Oryctolagus cuniculus: one gene and its partners. The protein of the gene in region 4 interacts with the protein of the main gene of each other region in a pairwise test. Links are inferred from orthologs where the notes say so. Each region holds a gene or a part of one and is shown on either strand. Other genes may lie near its edges.

The links.
Region 1: the proteins of CRYAB (region 4) and CRYBB2 interact in a two-hybrid assay, tested with the Homo sapiens proteins (2 studies listed by BioGRID and IntAct). The link is inferred for Oryctolagus cuniculus from reciprocal best matches to the Homo sapiens genes CRYAB and CRYBB2.
Region 2: the proteins of CRYAB (region 4) and gamma-crystallin C interact in binary tests that used the Homo sapiens proteins (3 or more experiments, as listed by UniProt). The link is inferred for Oryctolagus cuniculus from reciprocal best matches to the Homo sapiens genes CRYAB and CRYGC.
Region 3: the proteins of CRYAB (region 4) and LBH interact in a two-hybrid assay, tested with the Homo sapiens proteins (2 studies listed by BioGRID, with this or other methods). The link is inferred for Oryctolagus cuniculus from reciprocal best matches to the Homo sapiens genes CRYAB and LBH.

What each region holds. Positions count from the first base shown.
Region 1 is NC_091452.1:19,372,432-19,376,333, forward strand, and holds the end of CRYBB2 (beta-crystallin B2), read left to right. Parts: intron 1-145; coding exon 146-278; intron 279-1,344; coding exon 1,345-1,487; intron 1,488-3,177; coding exon 3,178-3,346; 3' UTR 3,347-3,434; downstream 3,435-3,902. UniProt on the Homo sapiens protein: Crystallins are the dominant structural components of the vertebrate eye lens.
Region 2 is NC_091434.1:31,660,075-31,663,720, reverse strand, and holds gamma-crystallin C, read right to left. Parts: upstream 2,244-3,646; coding exon 2,235-2,243; intron 2,139-2,234; coding exon 1,896-2,138; intron 1,030-1,895; coding exon 754-1,029; 3' UTR 687-753; downstream 1-686. UniProt on the Homo sapiens protein: Crystallins are the dominant structural components of the vertebrate eye lens.
Region 3 is NC_091433.1:172,760,215-172,764,545, forward strand, and holds the start of LBH (protein LBH), read right to left. Parts: upstream 3,138-4,331; 5' UTR 2,928-3,137; coding exon 2,902-2,927; intron 455-2,901; coding exon 352-454; intron 1-351. UniProt on the Homo sapiens protein: Transcriptional activator which may act in mitogen-activated protein kinase signaling pathway.
Region 4 is NC_091432.1:103,864,692-103,869,085, reverse strand, and holds CRYAB (alpha-crystallin B chain), read left to right. Parts: upstream 1-1,433; 5' UTR 1,434-1,453; coding exon 1,454-1,654; intron 1,655-2,752; coding exon 2,753-2,875; intron 2,876-4,182; coding exon 4,183-4,386; downstream 4,387-4,394. Other genes in the region: HSPB2 (heat shock protein beta-2), read right to left, coding at 292-385. UniProt on the Homo sapiens protein: May contribute to the transparency and refractive index of the lens. Has chaperone-like activity, preventing aggregation of various proteins under a wide range of stress conditions.

The DNA of each region.
Region 1 (3,902 bases), on a different chromosome or scaffold from region 4:
TCTGGAGAACTGAATCGACCCTGCGCTTGGAATCCCTGTGTTCCGTTCTAGGTGGGGCGGCTACTCTTTGCTGGCTTGGCAGAGTGAGCATCCAGGGATGCTTGGGAGGGGAATGACCTGCCCCTCCCCCCGACCTCTCTTGCAGCTGGGTGGGCTACGAGCAAGCCAACTGCAAGGGCGAGCAGTTTGTATTTGAGAAGGGCGAGTACCCTCGCTGGGACTCGTGGACCAGCAGCCGGAGGACGGACTCCCTCAGCTCCTTGAGGCCCATCAAAGTGGTGAGACCCCGCCCTTTGTCCCACTTTGTCTCTGCTATCTTTGGTCCAGCGGTCCGAGGACAGGAAAGGAGCCGTCGCCTCTAGCATTGAAGCGGCCTTGCAACAGTCATTTTGCTTGCAGCCAGCCTCCGTCTCCACTTCTGAGACATGGGCACATTCGTAGCTATTGAGATGGCAGCAGGCTTGGTTTGAGGGCTGTCACATTGCACAGCTCCAGGGGGCTCCACTCACAGGACTACAATAGCTCCTGGTTGGGAGAGGGGCACTGTTCACAAACTATTCCATGCAGATGGGATCCCTAGGATGGTACAATGCCTGTCACAGAGAAATCACTCAAAAAGCTACTATAGCTGTCATACATAGTACAAGACATGCTGGGGGTGGGGGAGGAGCAGGGAGACTCAGGCCAGGGGGAGCTCTCGGGCATGCCTGATCCTGATTCTCACTGGGGTGTTAATTCTCAGCTGTAATCCCCAAATCACCCAAGCCCAGGCCAGCCCCTCTCAGAGCTTGGGATGGAGGAAGGGAGACCACTGGACACAGCTTTCCACAGATCTGGGTTTTATATTGGCTTTGCCATGCCCAGCTGTGTGATCTTGAGCAAGTCATTTTACCTCTCTGAGCCTTGTCTTGTTATCTGCCAAACGGTGCAAGAGTCATTGAAAGGCTTAAAAAATGAAGAACAATGCGCTATAGGAAGTAGAGGAAGGGCAGAATTGTAGAGATGACGGGAAAAAATGACCTCACGTGTCTGCTGGAGGCGCCATAAGCCTGAGCAGGAATGTATGGGGCGTGTGTGTGAGTGCATCATGGCCGGTGCTTACCACAGAGGAGGTTGTGCCTATGAGGGGGAGGAGGACAATGCAGCATCTGCCATTCCCCCGTAGGAGCTCAGCAACCAGCCCCTGTCCAGAGGCAGTTGTCGTAGGGGCCCCCACGCAGGCGTATTGGGCAGAGGGTCCCAGGTGGGGCATGCTGAGGCCAGCTCTGGGCCATGAGGATCAGGTGGGAAGGCAGAGCCCGGAGCCCCTGCACCTGCACTCATTGCCCCCCACCCCCACCACAGGACAGCCAGGAGCACAAGATCATCCTCTATGAGAACCCCAACTTCACGGGCAAGAAGATGGAGATCATAGATGACGACGTGCCCAGCTTCCACGCCCACGGCTACCAGGAGAAGGTGTCGTCCGTGCGGGTGCAGAGCGGCACGTGAGTGCGTCCCCAGCCCTGGCTCACCCTGCTCCGGGAACCCAAACCCTGGGGTCCTCCATCCTACTTTCCCCCAAATTTGTGGGCCATCTCGCACCCATCACCGGCCACTCCTGACCTCAGTCTTCCCACTGGAAAATGGGCAGAAATCAGGAATCACCAGATGTGGCTTCCAGCCCCTGAAAAGCAGGACGGTGTTTGTGCCTGGGGGTTGAGGGCGGTTCAGGGAGAGGCAGAGGTAAGTTGAGGCAGGAGGCGGAGCAGTGAATTGAGCGATGTTGAGCTCCAAGGGGCAGGAAGCCCAGGCCATGCTGGCCTTGTACACAGCTCGGCTCCTGAGCTGGGGAGTAGGAGGTCCCAATTCCCACGGGACTGCATTTCTTAGACACACATGGCTGCCAGTGCCCGGGGATTTGTCCGTGGGAGCCTGTCCGTGGGTTCTGTTGGGGCTGCAGCTGAGCTCTGGGCAGTGGGGGCTGGAGCCGGCTCATGCCGTCAGCTTTCCTCTCCACTGGTCCCACACCTGTGGACGCAACCAACCATGCACTGGAAATAGTTTTTTTTGTGTGTGTCCATATTTGAGATACGAGAACTTGCTGTTTCCCATAGAATGCAATGCAGTCCTCCTGCACAGGGCGCCTACCTCGTACTGGGTGTTCTGAGTCACCTGGAGGTGGTTTCGAGTAGGAAGGAGGTGGTGCAGGTTCTGTGCAAATAAATGCTGGCCATATTCGTACGGCACTTGGGCATCTGTGGACTGGGGTGTCCTTAGGGAATTCCAGAAGTGATCCCTAGCTTATAAGAGCAGATTCTGACGTTTTCAGAATTTTAGTTCTGATGAATCAATGGTTGCATGAGGCCAGCCCCAGGAGAAGTCTTTCCACCACAGCCATTGGCAGATGGTACTAATCAGGACTCGCCTCCCACCCAACCCTGCCCCCACACCCCCTCCAATCTCCTCCCTGGCAACCCCCAAGAGCCACATTTGTCACAGCTGCTGGCTTCTTGGCATTTGTCAAGCACCAACAATAGTGCCCCAAATTCTGTGTTGATTGCCCCCGTTATTCACTCACTCACTGGCTTGATTTGCCAGCTACTGCCAAGTGCCAGCCATTAGCTTAGGCGAAGGGAGATGACAGCGATCAGGTGGCTGCCTGGGCAGCTGACCCGCTAGAGGGAGCAACAGTTAGCAGTGGGAGAGTCCCCAGCGATCCCCAGCGAGCTAAGCTGCTTCTCAAGGAAGATACACTTGAGCTGAGCTCTCGGAGGAGGAGGAATCGCAGCGGGTAGAGGCTGAGACAGGGCCTCTCAGGAAGCAAGGACAAGGGGAGTGTGAGAGAGTCCACAAAGGCCACGTGGCGGGAGTGCAGGCCGGAGGGGCACAAGCCAGAGACGCCGAGCTGGAGGTGTCCCCAGAGATGGCCTGGGGCGTGGTGGACTGCGCGGTTCAGCACCTGTCTGCCTCTAAGCTTCTGTGAGCACCTCGGCTCCTGGTCTGACCCTACTCTCAGGTCTGCAGACACCGTTCACTGCAGGAGGGAGTGAGCCCATCAAGAGAAGGAGAGCAGAGGCTCGCTGCTGGAGGGGCTAAGAGGGCTGTGCTGCTCAGCATCAGGGGGAAATCACCCTTCCTACTGCCTGAAGGGGTCTCTCTCTCTCTCTCCCTCCCCACCTCCCCCTGGCCCTGCAGGTGGGTCGGCTACCAGTACCCTGGCTACCGTGGGCTGCAGTACCTCCTGGAGAAGGGAGACTACAAGGACAGCAGTGACTTTGGGGCTCCCCACCCCCAGGTGCAGTCCGTGCGCCGCATCCGCGACATGCAGTGGCACCAGCGGGGCGCCTTCCATCCCACCAACTAGGGCTCCCCGCCACGCCTCCGCCATCCCTCCCTCCCAGGAGCCAGGATCCTGCAGAGCTCCCAGCGAGTGAATAAAGTGTGACCTGCAACTTGTGTGTTGCCTGTCTCTTATCCCCTGTGGGAGGTGCGGCGTGGGCATGAGTGTGTGAGTGCAAAGAGGCACAGACACACACACACACACACACACACACACACACACAGATGTAGCTGTGTTTGGGCTACGCAGGGAAACAGGGCTCTCCCTGAGACAGCTCTGCAGCGACGTGGCTGTGTGACCTCAGATGCATCATCCAACCTCTCTGAGCCTCCACTTCTTCACCTGACTCCTGAACCTCTTGTCCCCTGCATGGCTGTCTTGGTTCACCCCTGGGTTCTCTCTCTGTGGTGCTGGGCAGAGTGACCCCAAGGGGCATGCATCCACTGCCTGCTGATCTCCCTGTACTGAGAATCACTGCCTCAAGGCTCTGCCAGAGATGCCAAGAATCCTGCGGGATTCCTCCCCACCCCAAGGAGAGGTCACAGTAACTTGTCTCTGTGTGTGTGTGTGTGTGTGTGTG
Region 2 (3,646 bases), on a different chromosome or scaffold from region 4:
CAACCATCCCATCTTCCACTCCCTCTCCCACCCCATTCTTCATCAAGATAAATTTGAGCCTTATTTTTTTGTAGTTAAAGGGCTTTTTATGTTTGTGATATATTAGATCATGTAAACCACTTAAACTACTGATGTGTCTCCCTTATGAATTTATTTGCATTATCTGGACCCCATGTACAGTTCTGCAGTTTCTATACTTCACGCAGCATTTGGGCCAGGCTCCGAAATAACTAAAGGTTTACCCTGGTGCAAAGGCATGGCAGCTTGGTATTCGTTATGTTAACACTGCACTTGAAAGTCAACAAAACTCCAATTCCTCACAGTCTACTCAGGCTTCTTGCCAAGCTGGACTTGGCCTCACAACTCACTTGACTTTGTCTTTTGTAGTTTCCAACCACTTTCCAGGCCGGAAGGAAACTTTTGGAACACTGTTCCTCAGAGCCTTCTGCGGAGTGCCTGGGTTCCCCCATCGCCATCTGCCTGTCTCTAGTTTGCCTTGTCTTTTCTTTCTCATTCGGGCTGCATCCTCTCTCCTCCCTGATGTCTGAGCCTTGCTCATACTCACCAGGCCTTCAGGCTCTTGAATCCACTCCACCCACTCCCTTATGCCCTTCACAAACTTTAGCAGCGAGTATTTATATGTGAATTAATTTGCACACAATGCAAGAAAAACTCGAAGTCAGTAATTGCCAACAATACAGACTAAATACTTTATTAGGTTCCAAAATGAGAAAATGGTAGTGTTAACCTATTTTAGTATAAATCTACCACTCTGCGCAAAGAGCCTGCTTTCGCATCCATGGCTCCCCAGTCTTGGTACCGCCGGTACTCCTGAGGCCTCAGCAGGTACTGCCGCCCCCGGTAGTTGGGCAGCTCGTAGAGGACCCAGCAGCCCTCCAGCACGTGGAGGGAGCGGACCTCACTGAGGTGGAAGCGGTCCTGGATGCAGGAGCAGTCCTCGCTCAGCTCCATCATGAGGCCTTTGTGGTCATCTTTCTCATACAGTCGCATCCTGTGAGAGCTTGTCTGCTCGGGGCACAAAAAGAAGGAACCAGAAAAGCAAATGAGCCTCTTATGGAATTCATCCAATCAAACAAAGATGACCTTGATAGACTGGGCATGGATTTTCAATGTAAGAATCATGACTCTGAAATAGCTGTGCGTGGATCTGCCTTCTGCTAACATCTGACAAATTCTTGCACATCAATCGCTGTTTCTTATCTAGCAGGTGATATTTTTGTGAGGTTCAAACTTGGAATTCATCAGAAACTCAAGTTCTTTGATTCCTATTTCCCTCTGGGTGACTCAAATATATTTTTTGGAAAGCTTAAATAATTTATTTTAATTTATATTTTAATAAGAATGTCTCTCCCAGAATTATTTATATACATATAAATTTATCATTAAAGTAGGATTTTGAACTTCTGTACTTCAGGGAAAAGTTGGTTTAAATAGTCCCTGGGAACCAGGATTCAAGGGATTTCCCAAATTAAAGAGCTATTGAGTATCCTATACGAACAAGTCTTCAGTGTGTATTAGTCCACAGTAGAACCTAATGCAGTCATTAGAAATTTCTTTAAAATAAATGAAAACGAATGGAATTTGTTATAAATTACTGCCATCTCCAGCCTAATCAGCTTCCCGTTGGCAAGTTCTGTTTTAAATTTCATTATGCTAATCTATTTGATCGACAACTTTGATTGTCTTAATGATAGCAAGAATTAAACATAAAACTGACTCTTCCTCCAAGTGGATTCTTGCCTGTATTCTATGTGTAAGCAAGTGCAGAAAACCCACATAGCCCCTCGTTGTTTATAAAGTAAAACCTCCCCAACCCACATCAGTAACTCAGTGAGAACACGCAGGCAGCATGAGCCAAATCAAGCAAAACTCACTTGGGGGATGAGGCGGCAGGAGCGGATCGAGTCGCTGAGGCCCATCCACTGCTGGTAGTCGGGGTACTCGCCCCGGCGCAGGAAGTACTGGTGGCCCTGGTAGTTGGGGCGCTCATAGAGCATCCAGCAGCCGCTGTCCACGCGCACCGAGTTGCAGCGGCTGAAGTAGGGCTGCAGGTTGGGGCAGTCGCTGCTGCACTCGTAGCAGCGGCCCTGGAAGCCCCGGTCCTCGTAGAAAATGATCTGCAAAGGAAGAATGATTCCGAATTAAATCATTTGCTCCCAGTAAGCCTTGTATAAAGCTCTGTTTTCTTTTTATTAAACGTGTGCTCCGCTCACCTTCCCCATGGCTGGTTGACACCGATGCTGGAGTTCAGTGTGTGGGGCCGGCAGCGCGGCGGGTCTATATAGCAGGAGCGCTGCTGCGTTGGCAGGAACAACACAAAAGGGGCCCGCGGGGGTGAGTAAGGGCATTTTATGGATCCCTTTTACATGCTGCATTCACTGGAAATGATTGCAGATTTTGCCCTCATTCTCTGGTATATTCTCACGCTGGCCTCTATCTGCTGCTCTTTTATTTGGATTCTTCGTGTTTTTTAAATTTATCAGCACACCAGTCTGAACTTTTGACCCGAAATTCGTGTCTGCATGCATAGGAGTACGATTTAATTAAAACCCACGAATTTTCCGGGGGAAAGCTCTGCCTTCCTGAAGGGTCCCCTGGTTCCAAGAGGCTGTTGGGGAGACAGACTGCTACACACCCCACTTTCTCTGGAAGACAGAACTAGCTGTCTTAAATGTTTTTCTTTACACAGTTTGTCAGTTCAATGCAGGACATAAGTCTAGATTCTGATCTAAGCTGGTTTTGACTTCGTTGATTCAATTCACTAAAACACAGTAGTTAATCTCTCTACCCCGCATTGACAGGTGCACATCATGTATCAGGATGTCAGCCCCTGGGAGTCAACTTGTGCTAGGAACGAGGGAAGGCTTCCTGCGACCATGGGCCCAAGACTGCGAAGTGTGTTGCTCTGTTGGTTGTTGCCCCTTTTCCAAGGATGGGGAGACCATGAAGCTGCATTCTGACACAGACTGCCTGGGCTGGGGAGGCCCATGGGGTGGCTGTATGAAGATGGCAGGTCCCACTACCTCTCAGAGCAGGACCCATCTCGTGGGAGAAGGTTTGATGAGTGAGAAAGACAGAAAGGAATAACCTCTGACATTCGGAAGCAGGCCTGGCACTCATAGCTGGGATGTATTATTCTTCTAGTGGATGTAAACAATCTCCCTTGATGGAATGAAATAAAGCAAGGCCACTTTATTAGTCTATCTAAGCACAGGCAAAAACAATGCCAGCAAAACACACACACAGTACCAAATATTACCCCCTCATCCAAAATGATTTTCGGCTATTTCTTTATCAATTATAGCTTAATCTTCATTCTAGTTTCTCTCTCTTTGGGTAAGATTTAATGAGATAACCAATCATAAACTTAATCTTGCTTTGGGACAGCATCTATCTAGAATGAACCTCAGTTTTTAGATTCTTCCCCAAATTATCCAACCAGACTAAAATCCTTTTTAAAAATTCTTTTTAAAATGTATTTATTTTCTTTATTTGAGAAAGTGATTGAGAAACTCCCTATTTGATGTTCCACCCTCCAAATGCACAAGATAACTGGTGCTGGACCACAACAAAGCTGGAATCTAGGTCTCCCATGTGGATGGCAAGAACCTAGCTACTGTGGCCA
Region 3 (4,331 bases), on a different chromosome or scaffold from region 4:
ATGTGTCCGTGGCCTAAAGCATGGCTGGGAAGGCAGCTCTGAAACGCACAAAGTGCGTCCTCCTTGGCTGCTGTGAATGGAGGAGTGCACAGAGCCAGATGGCTAATCAACAGCCATGACCGCCTCAGCACCGCCTCTCACCAAGCTGTGGCTCTCCCATGATCCCATGTGGTGAGGACTACTGTTGCCCCATTTTACAGATGAAAAAACTGAGGCCTACTGGCATCCGGGGACTTTGCTGAGATCACACAGCTCTTTACAAGTGGCGCTCGGAAGCAAAAGCAAGTCTGCCTCCATCCGCAGCAAGAGCCGTGAGACCCTGCGAAGAGTCAGCAGGACTTCCATACCTACCTGGTAGGAAAGGCCGTCCTTCCGGGGGCTGAGGCCAATCTCCTCCATGGATGGGGTGTTCATCATCACCTCGGTCATCTCGGCCGATCTCAGATAGTCAGGGCTGCCAAGAAACCCAGACCCAAAGTCAGCAAACACAGGCACTTTCACGTTCCTCCTCTCGGGTACGTACGCTGCCAGGAGATCAGGGGAGCGTCTGGAGACAGGATGAGAGGGATTCGCAGAAAAACAAGCTCGCGCGCTCTGAGGAAGTGCCTTGCAAACCCACAGCAACAGGGCTCCAAGCCCCAGTGGACAAAGCCCGCTGCCCCTGGCAAACCGCCATCACCCTCCTCTCCTGCACGGGAGACCCCTGGCACAGAATGACCCTGGGTTTCCTTTAAGTGACAGCACCAGGAAAAAACCAAAACAGTAGGCAGCTGATCTCTCTGTCTATATGAAAATCAATCCAGCCGGGTCTCCCTCTCCCCTCCAACTAAGCATAAAAATAACCCTCATGAATTTTCCAAAGGGAAATTGCAAATCATAATTACACAATAATGGTAACAGGTCAGCCTCGGGGAAAACAAAGCCCAGCACGAATCCCCCTGCCTACATTTCTCTCCATCTCTCTGGTGCTCCTTTTGGCAAAATGTCCCACTGGAAGCCCCAAGGGGTCAGCTTTCTGCAAGCTCCACATCTGTCATCCAACCCCCTTCTCCAGCCCGAGCCACGGCAGCTGCAAGCTCACAGCTTGAAAAACATCCCCTGGATTAAAAGCCTTAAGGATACCCGGACTCTGATTGCAAAGGAAATTTCCAGAGGGGCCACGCTGGCCCACCAATGGCTGACATGTGAAAGTGCTTTGTACTCTGTAAGCCGGATACAAACGTCCCATTATCCTAGCACCAGCCCTGGGCACACACAGGACCCTATGTGCATTATGCCACATATACAGCCCAGACCCGGGTCCTGGCTACACAACACCCAGTATTTCCACTGGGCAGGCTTTAGAGGGAGTCTACCTAAGGGAACGGGGACGCCAGACTCCTTGCAAGGTTCATACACAGTGGAGAAACTGCATTGGATTTGGGAGCAGAAGCAATGGGTGCTGCCCTCAAGAGCTGAGTGATACAGAACAGGTCCTGTAATCTCTCAGAGTCACAGGTGTCCCGTGTTCGCGTGTTACTTGTATGTTGATCTTGGGTGTCTCGCAAGTAAGGGGAAAGGTTGAAAGGTTACTGCTCATCAGCTAGCTGACCCTAAACCTCAATTTCACAAGGGGCACTATCCCCGATGGGCTCTGCCACCACTGGGGAAAAGCGGCCAACAGCCTGCGAACCCCAGCCACAGGACACCTGGCCGCTCCCTCACCACAGGGTGCAGTGTACCTGGGCTCCTGGAAGGGGGGGGCCTGGATGAGTCTCGGGGTGGGGGGATTTTTACTTTGCTTGGAGAGTTCAGTCCTCTCTCTGAACACAGGCAGGCTGGGGCGGAAGCGAGAGACCAAGGGAGGATGTGGCAGAGGATTGGATCCGGAGCCAGGACCCCCACGGCACAGTCTCTTCCCGGGCCGCGCCCCTCCCTCCTAGAGGAATGCTCAAGCAGGGGAGGGCTCTTCTGATGTAGGGGGGCTGATCCCCGCTCGAGGGTTTGGCGCAGGCCCCGAAAAGTTGGGGCAAGAAGAGTGAACTTCCTGGTTCCCAGGCTCGGCAGGACGGCGCCCCGAGACTTGAGCCCGTTTCCTCTCTCAGGGTGCCGAACCCCGACCCCAGGGCCTGGCTCTCCACAGCCGCACCTTCGGGCGCGCTCCGGGGCGCTTGCCCCTGGGTCTGCTCCCCAACCCCAGCGCAGGAAGGAAGAAGCGGCCAGCGCGCGAGTCCCGGCAGCCAAGGCCTCTCTCCGCACCCTTCCCCACCCGGGTCCCCCGCTGGGGGCAAACCTCCGCCGCCGCCCCTCGGCCCAGCTCGGGAAGGGCGGCTCATCGCCAGCAAGGACCGGCACTGAAGGCTGGACGGGTTTGGGGGGCTACCGAGCGAGCAGGGGTCGAAAGTGTGCTGCGTGGGAGCTGCTGTTTGTGGCTTCAGTGGGGTTGCGGGTGGGGAAGGCGTCTCTCCCCCTGCCCGAGCTTTGCAAAAGCGGCGGCTGCACCAGCTCAGCCTGGCTGCAGCCTCGACGCCGAGACTTGCATGCAAACAAAAAGAAAAAAGGGGAGGGGCCCGGCAGAGCGGGAGCCCCTGCGCCAGGGGGGCGCGCGCCTCCCGCAGCTCTCTGCAGAGAGGGGGTCTCGTGGGCTGGGAGGGGGGCTCAGAGGCAACCCCTGGCTCGACGCCGCCACAGCTAGCACCACACACGCCCTCCAGCAGTCACTCCGCTGAGCGCTCCGAGTTCACTTCCTTTGTCTGGATGCTCTCAGCGCCACCTCCCCCCACCCCCACCCTCGCAACCTTGACGTTGACTCCTGCACGGGCTCCGGCTGCGGGTTTGCGCGGGGCGCGCACTCCCCCGGCTGCACTCGCCCCGGAGCCACGGCAGCGAGACGGGCGCCCGCCGCGGGCACCGGGTACTCACCAGTGAATGGGGAAATATACAGACATGAAGTCCTAGGGGAGGCTGACCCGCGCCCTCGTGATTGAAAAATGGTCACCGCGTCCCGGGAGAGAAGGACACGAGTGCAGACGGGCGCGGCAGGCGGCCGAGAGAGGTGCCGGGCGTAAGCGGTTCCGCCGTCCCGAAACAGCCCCACTGCCAGCGGCGTCGGCGGAGCGCGCTGAGCTCCCCGCTCACCACCGCGATCCCGGCCCCACAAAGAGCCCGGGAGGCCGCATTTATAGGGGAGGGGGGAGGAGCCTGGCCCCGAGAGGCCCCGCCCCCTCACCCACTCCTGGAATAACGTCACCAAAATCATGAATGGCTTGGGCGCTCGCAGCTCGGGCGGGCGGCGGCTCGGGGACGCGCTCGGCTCTGCTCCCCAGGGCCGTGGTTTGCTGCAGCTCCCGGCCCGGCCCCTCCCCGCGACTCGCACGCGCGCACACACGCACGCCCCGGGCTGGAGTTCAATGTCAGCGCGGCGCCCGCAGCGCGTCCCTGCACCCCCAGGGTCCTCCGAGGCGACCGGGCTGAGCGGGCGGGATCGCCGGGGCCGCTCCGCGCCGGCGGAGGGCGCAGTTCCTTCAGCCTCGGTCCGCGCTCGCCGACCTGGCCCAGCCCTCGGGGCCCCCTCTTCTGCATCCACACCTGGACCAGGCTTCTCCGCGGCGCCCGGGACGCGTCCCTTCTCCCCCGGGCTGGCTGTGCGAGGGGCTGTGCGGTTGCCGTGAGCCGAAAAGCGTCCGATTCGTGGGAGAAAGGATGTGTTGTCGGCTTGGGGTCTTTCCGCTGTGGGACGCGCACTCGCACCAGCGCACCCCACGAGCCTCGGCGCCCTAATCGGCGCGGAAGAGTCCCTCGCTGCGTGACAGCCGCCACAAAGGGGGTCGGGAGGAACAGGTCCCGCGCCTCCCAGGCTGGCCAGCGGCGCAGCCTGCAGAGCAGGACGATGAGAGCCCAGCTGGGCCACTGGGGGGCCTCCGCGGCCGTGACGCCAGAGGCGGTTTTCAAACACTAGGCAATATTAAAATCTGCCTTGAAGACAGGCGGTTTTGCAAGGCAAGACAGGGAATATATTGAACCCCTGTGTACGTGCTCAAAAGTGGGAACACAGACGTCTCAGGGAGGAAAGATGCAGGAATGAATGGGAAGAGATCAGCAGGGGCAGGGTCCTCAGAGGCAGGGGAGGGGACCCTCGTGATTCCATCAGTGCCCCCTGTCAAAACCAACCCAAAGAAAAAACAATTGATAGCTTTGCTGTTGTCAGCCCTTCCTGTAGTCAACCGGAGTAAAAACTGCACCCAGAAACGCGCTGCTTCCTGACAAGCCCCTAGCTGCCCCCTCTGCCGGAGAGATGCAGGAGCACCCCCAACCCCATGGATCCCGCGCACTAAACCAGAAATCCATCAGTG
Region 4 (4,394 bases):
GAAGGCAAGGCTGACTGGGACCTGGTGATAGCAGGGGAATGAGAAGGCACATGGGCAGGCAAGGGGCAGCAATCAGAGCATGGCAGGCCCCAAGTCTGTACTGAGGTCAGTGGGAAGGGGAACAAGCCCTGTTTGCGGGGGGTGAGGAGGGAGTCTGAGGTTGGAGGTGGCCCACCCCCGGAGTTCACTTAAGCCCGAAATGGGGTGGAAGCCAGTAACGTTGGGAGATCAGCCCAGAATTTCAGGAGGTGGGGGTGGGAGGCAAGGAGGGGGGTGGCATCTGGCCCATACCTTCTCCAAAGCGCTGTTCACCCAGGCGGCTGGGATTGGCAAATTCGTACTCAGTGGTGGCCGGGTGGGCATGGGGCACTGTACGGCCCGACATAGCTGCAGACGTGGCGACAGCCCTGATCTGAGGTGCAGCCCCAAGAGGCCAGTGCGACCCCTCCAGCTGCCTGGAGAGCCAGGGCTTGGTCGGAGGTGGGGGCGGGGTCTACACCACCCAAAATAGTGCAGAGCCTCTGGGGGCAGGGCTGCAGAGCCAGGCCCTGAGTGCAAAGACGAGGGTGTGATCCACGCCACCGGACCCCCAGTCCCCTCCCCCATACACCCTTCAGCTGTCGCAGAGGACCAGAGAAGACAGCTGGGGGTCCTGGTTCAGAGGGAGCTGGGGAGGGGTGCTGGTGCTGGAGGCTCAGGAGAGGCCAGGCCGAGCCCCTCCCTAAACAGTCAGAACATTTCCACACTCCCTTTTACTCCTCAGTTGCAGGACTGTGCCCCCTGCTTCATAAAGAACTTTGGATTTCATGTCCTGCAAGCCACATACAATCAAAGAGGCAAGAAACTTTTCTGCCTTTTTTAGGGAGATTGGGGTGCATCTGCCCAGATTAATGTCAGGGTCCTCTCCTAAGCCCTCGTCAACCCAGGGTGCCACGCAGATGCCTGGTAGTGACATGCTGGTGGTCACTCTCCTCCAAGGACCTACAAAGAGTTAATGTCCCTGGGGCCCAGCCTAGGAAGATTCCAGTTCCTGCCCAGGCCCAAGATAGTTGCTGGCCAGATGCCCCTGGCATGCAAGACTGGAGAGGAGGAGGAGGGGCACACCACGCGCCTGCTTGGGATTCCTGACTGTGTCCCAGCTTCAGAGAACAGGGGAAGGGGGTGGGTGCCTTTGGGTGTGGACGGAAAGCCAGTGAAACAAGACCATGGCAAGTCACTGGCCAGCTCAGACGTGTTTGTGTTTCTCTTTTCTTAGCTCAGTGAGTACTGGGTATGTGTCACACTGCCAAATCCCCGATCACAAGTCTCCATGAACCAGCGGTGAGCTAGGATAATAAAACCCCTGACATCACCATTCCAGAAGCTTCAGAAGACTGCATATATAAGGGGCTGGCTGTAGCTGCGGCTGAAGGAGCTGACCCGCCAGCTGACCCCCGACACTCACCTAGCCACCATGGACATCGCTATCCACCACCCCTGGATCCGCCGCCCCTTCTTTCCTTTTCACTCGCCCAGCCGCCTCTTTGACCAGTTCTTCGGAGAGCACCTGTTGGAGTCTGATCTCTTCCCAACTTCTACTTCCCTGAGCCCCTTCTATCTTCGGCCACCCTCATTCCTGCGGGCACCCAGCTGGATTGACACTGGACTCTCAGAGGTGAGTCTCCTCTGCTTGAAACCTCCTTGAAACTCCCCTATTCATTTTCCTTTCCTTCCTTGCCTAAAAACCACTTTAGGCTCATGTGTGTCCATAAGTGAAGAAAAATGAGGTTACTGCCTCCCTCCTCTGGGCACCTGTTTCTGTTTGATACTTCTCTGTATCTTACTACATTTTCCCCTGAGCTGTGCATCCCTGATGCTCTCTCCTCTAACTTCTAAGCAAGATACCCGTTCCTGGTTTGGTTCAGAAAGATTTGAAGAGAAGGGAACTGCCTTCTAACGCTTTGCTCACCTCTTCTAATAATAGTTTGTACTCCTGAGAGACTTTATCATCTCAAGTTTCAGAGTCCTACCTCATCCTGAGCTTTTCATCCTCACTAGGGGGAACTGGCAACAACAACCACTATTTTTTCCTTTCCATTCCCTCTTTTTATTTATTTATTTTTGTTTTATTAAACGAATACAACTTCATGCAGTTAATATACGCAGATTTGAGATCTGTTCCCTCTTGTATGATTTTCCAAGTTCCTTGGGGTTCTGACAGAGCACTGGCCTGGGTCCAAGCCTTATGAGGGAAGAATAGGACCAGTCTTAGGACCCTCTCGCTTGTCCTAAGAGGGTGGGAGAATGCGGTGACTAGATAAGGTTGACAGGCACTGTCAAAGATAACACTGCGGTTTAAAAATATTCGAGTGTGGGTAAACAGGAGCTGAGTGGGCAAGGGCTTTGGAAGGGCAAGCAGAACATTCCAGATTGTATGGGTGGGACACTTGGCAGAGAACTGAGCAAGAAGAAGGGGCCTTTGTCTCATAGACAAATGACAAAGCAAGGCATTGGGGTCAAAGAGGCAGCAGAAGCCATGCCCAGACCCATCTTGTGATTGGTTCCCTGGGTGATCTTTCCTTATAAATAAAGTTTGGAATTGATGACTGATAGGCATGCCTTGGGTACCACTGTGGTATATTTAGCAGAAAAGAGGAGGATAAAATAGCTGTATAGAAAGCAAGTCTACAAAATGACGATACTGTACCAGTGTAATCAACATGCCTGTCACCTTTTCTCCCACCTCCCCCTTCCCTCATCTTGCTATTTCTAGATGCGCCTGGAGAAGGACAGGTTCTCTGTCAACCTGGATGTGAAGCACTTCTCCCCAGAGGAGCTCAAGGTCAAAGTGTTGGGTGATGTGATTGAGGTGCACGGCAAACATGAAGAGCGCCAGGTATGTAGCCTGCTTTTCCTTCTGCTCATTCATTCAGTGCATGTTGTCTACTGAATGATGCCAGACACTGCCATCAGCTTTTGAGGCTGGCGACATTCCTGTCCCAAAAAAATGAGCCTCTGAATCAGGGATAGCAAATCAATGGCTAGAAACTAAATTAGGGACTGAGCTGTTATTATTATTGCTGTTGTTGGCCAAAGCAGGGACCATGATTGTTTGTTTTGATTTGATTGGCTTAGATGGGATAAATTGGATGTTTGCTCCCCATTTAAGCCAGTGATTCTCAACCTTGGCCACATTAGAATCACTAGGAGAATGTTCACAAATCCAAATTCTCAGCTATGCCCTGAACGATTAAATAAAAATTTTTAGAGATAGGATGTAGGCAATACCATTTTTTTTTTTTCACTTCTAAAGACGATTGTAATCTACAGTCAAGCTGAAGGGCACTCATCTAAGTAGTTTTGTCAGACAACAAGTTGCTTTATGTAATTACATTAGCTACATATACCCTGAAGGCACTTGAATCCATAACTTTTCTTTTAGATGGTCCACTTCTCTTCAGGCTATCTTAATGCTACACTACTTGGTTTTCTGATGTTTCAAAGTTGTACTTGGTTCCCAATCTCTCGTAGTCCATGTGGAAATCAGTTAAATTGAGAGCCTTTTTGGAAAAATGCTGGAGATTGGGCAGGCATACAGGTCAGGGTCAGTTACTTTTACGAAATTCTGATGAATGGAACATATTCTCATGTCTTTGAACAGGTTTAATATCATTTCTCAACAATTAGTGATAATCCAAGGCTTCTGCATCAACTAATACAATTTAGCTTAATACAATCAGGTTGTTTCAGTTTTGCTCATATGACTTAAGTTTGGGTCACAGTCTCCCTGAATGGATGAAGTCACTTTTTTTTTCCCCTTAGGAGCAATCTTATTAGTCTGGAACATTCTGGGAATTGTTGAAGGGTCAGGACAATTTCTGGGCTCCTTCAGGGACTCAGTTGCCAGGACAAGATTCCAAATCCTATAGGCTCAGCCAAACTTTTGAAAAATATCCTTACACATCTATGCTTCAGGGTTAAAGTTCTGGTCTGTTTCAGACTCCTCACACTCTTATGGGTAGAAGTTACCACCTGGGCAACTTCATCTTTGCCCAAAACCTGAAATGAACTGCCCTTTATTTTTTCTCATGTTGTCAGTGGCCTTTAGACACACGTAAGGGTAATGGGGATGTCGGAGTTATAAGCAAGTGGGATTATTTCTTGTTCTTATATCTCTGCCTCTTTCCTCTTTTCTTGGATTAGGATGAACATGGTTTCATCTCCAGGGAGTTCCACAGGAAATACCGGATCCCAGCTGATGTGGACCCTCTCACCATTACTTCATCCCTGTCATCTGATGGGGTCCTCACTGTGAATGGACCAAGGAAGCAAGCCCCTGGCCCAGAGCGCACCATTCCCATAACCCGTGAAGAGAAGCCTGCTGTCACTGCAGCCCCCAAGAAGTAGATGCCCTT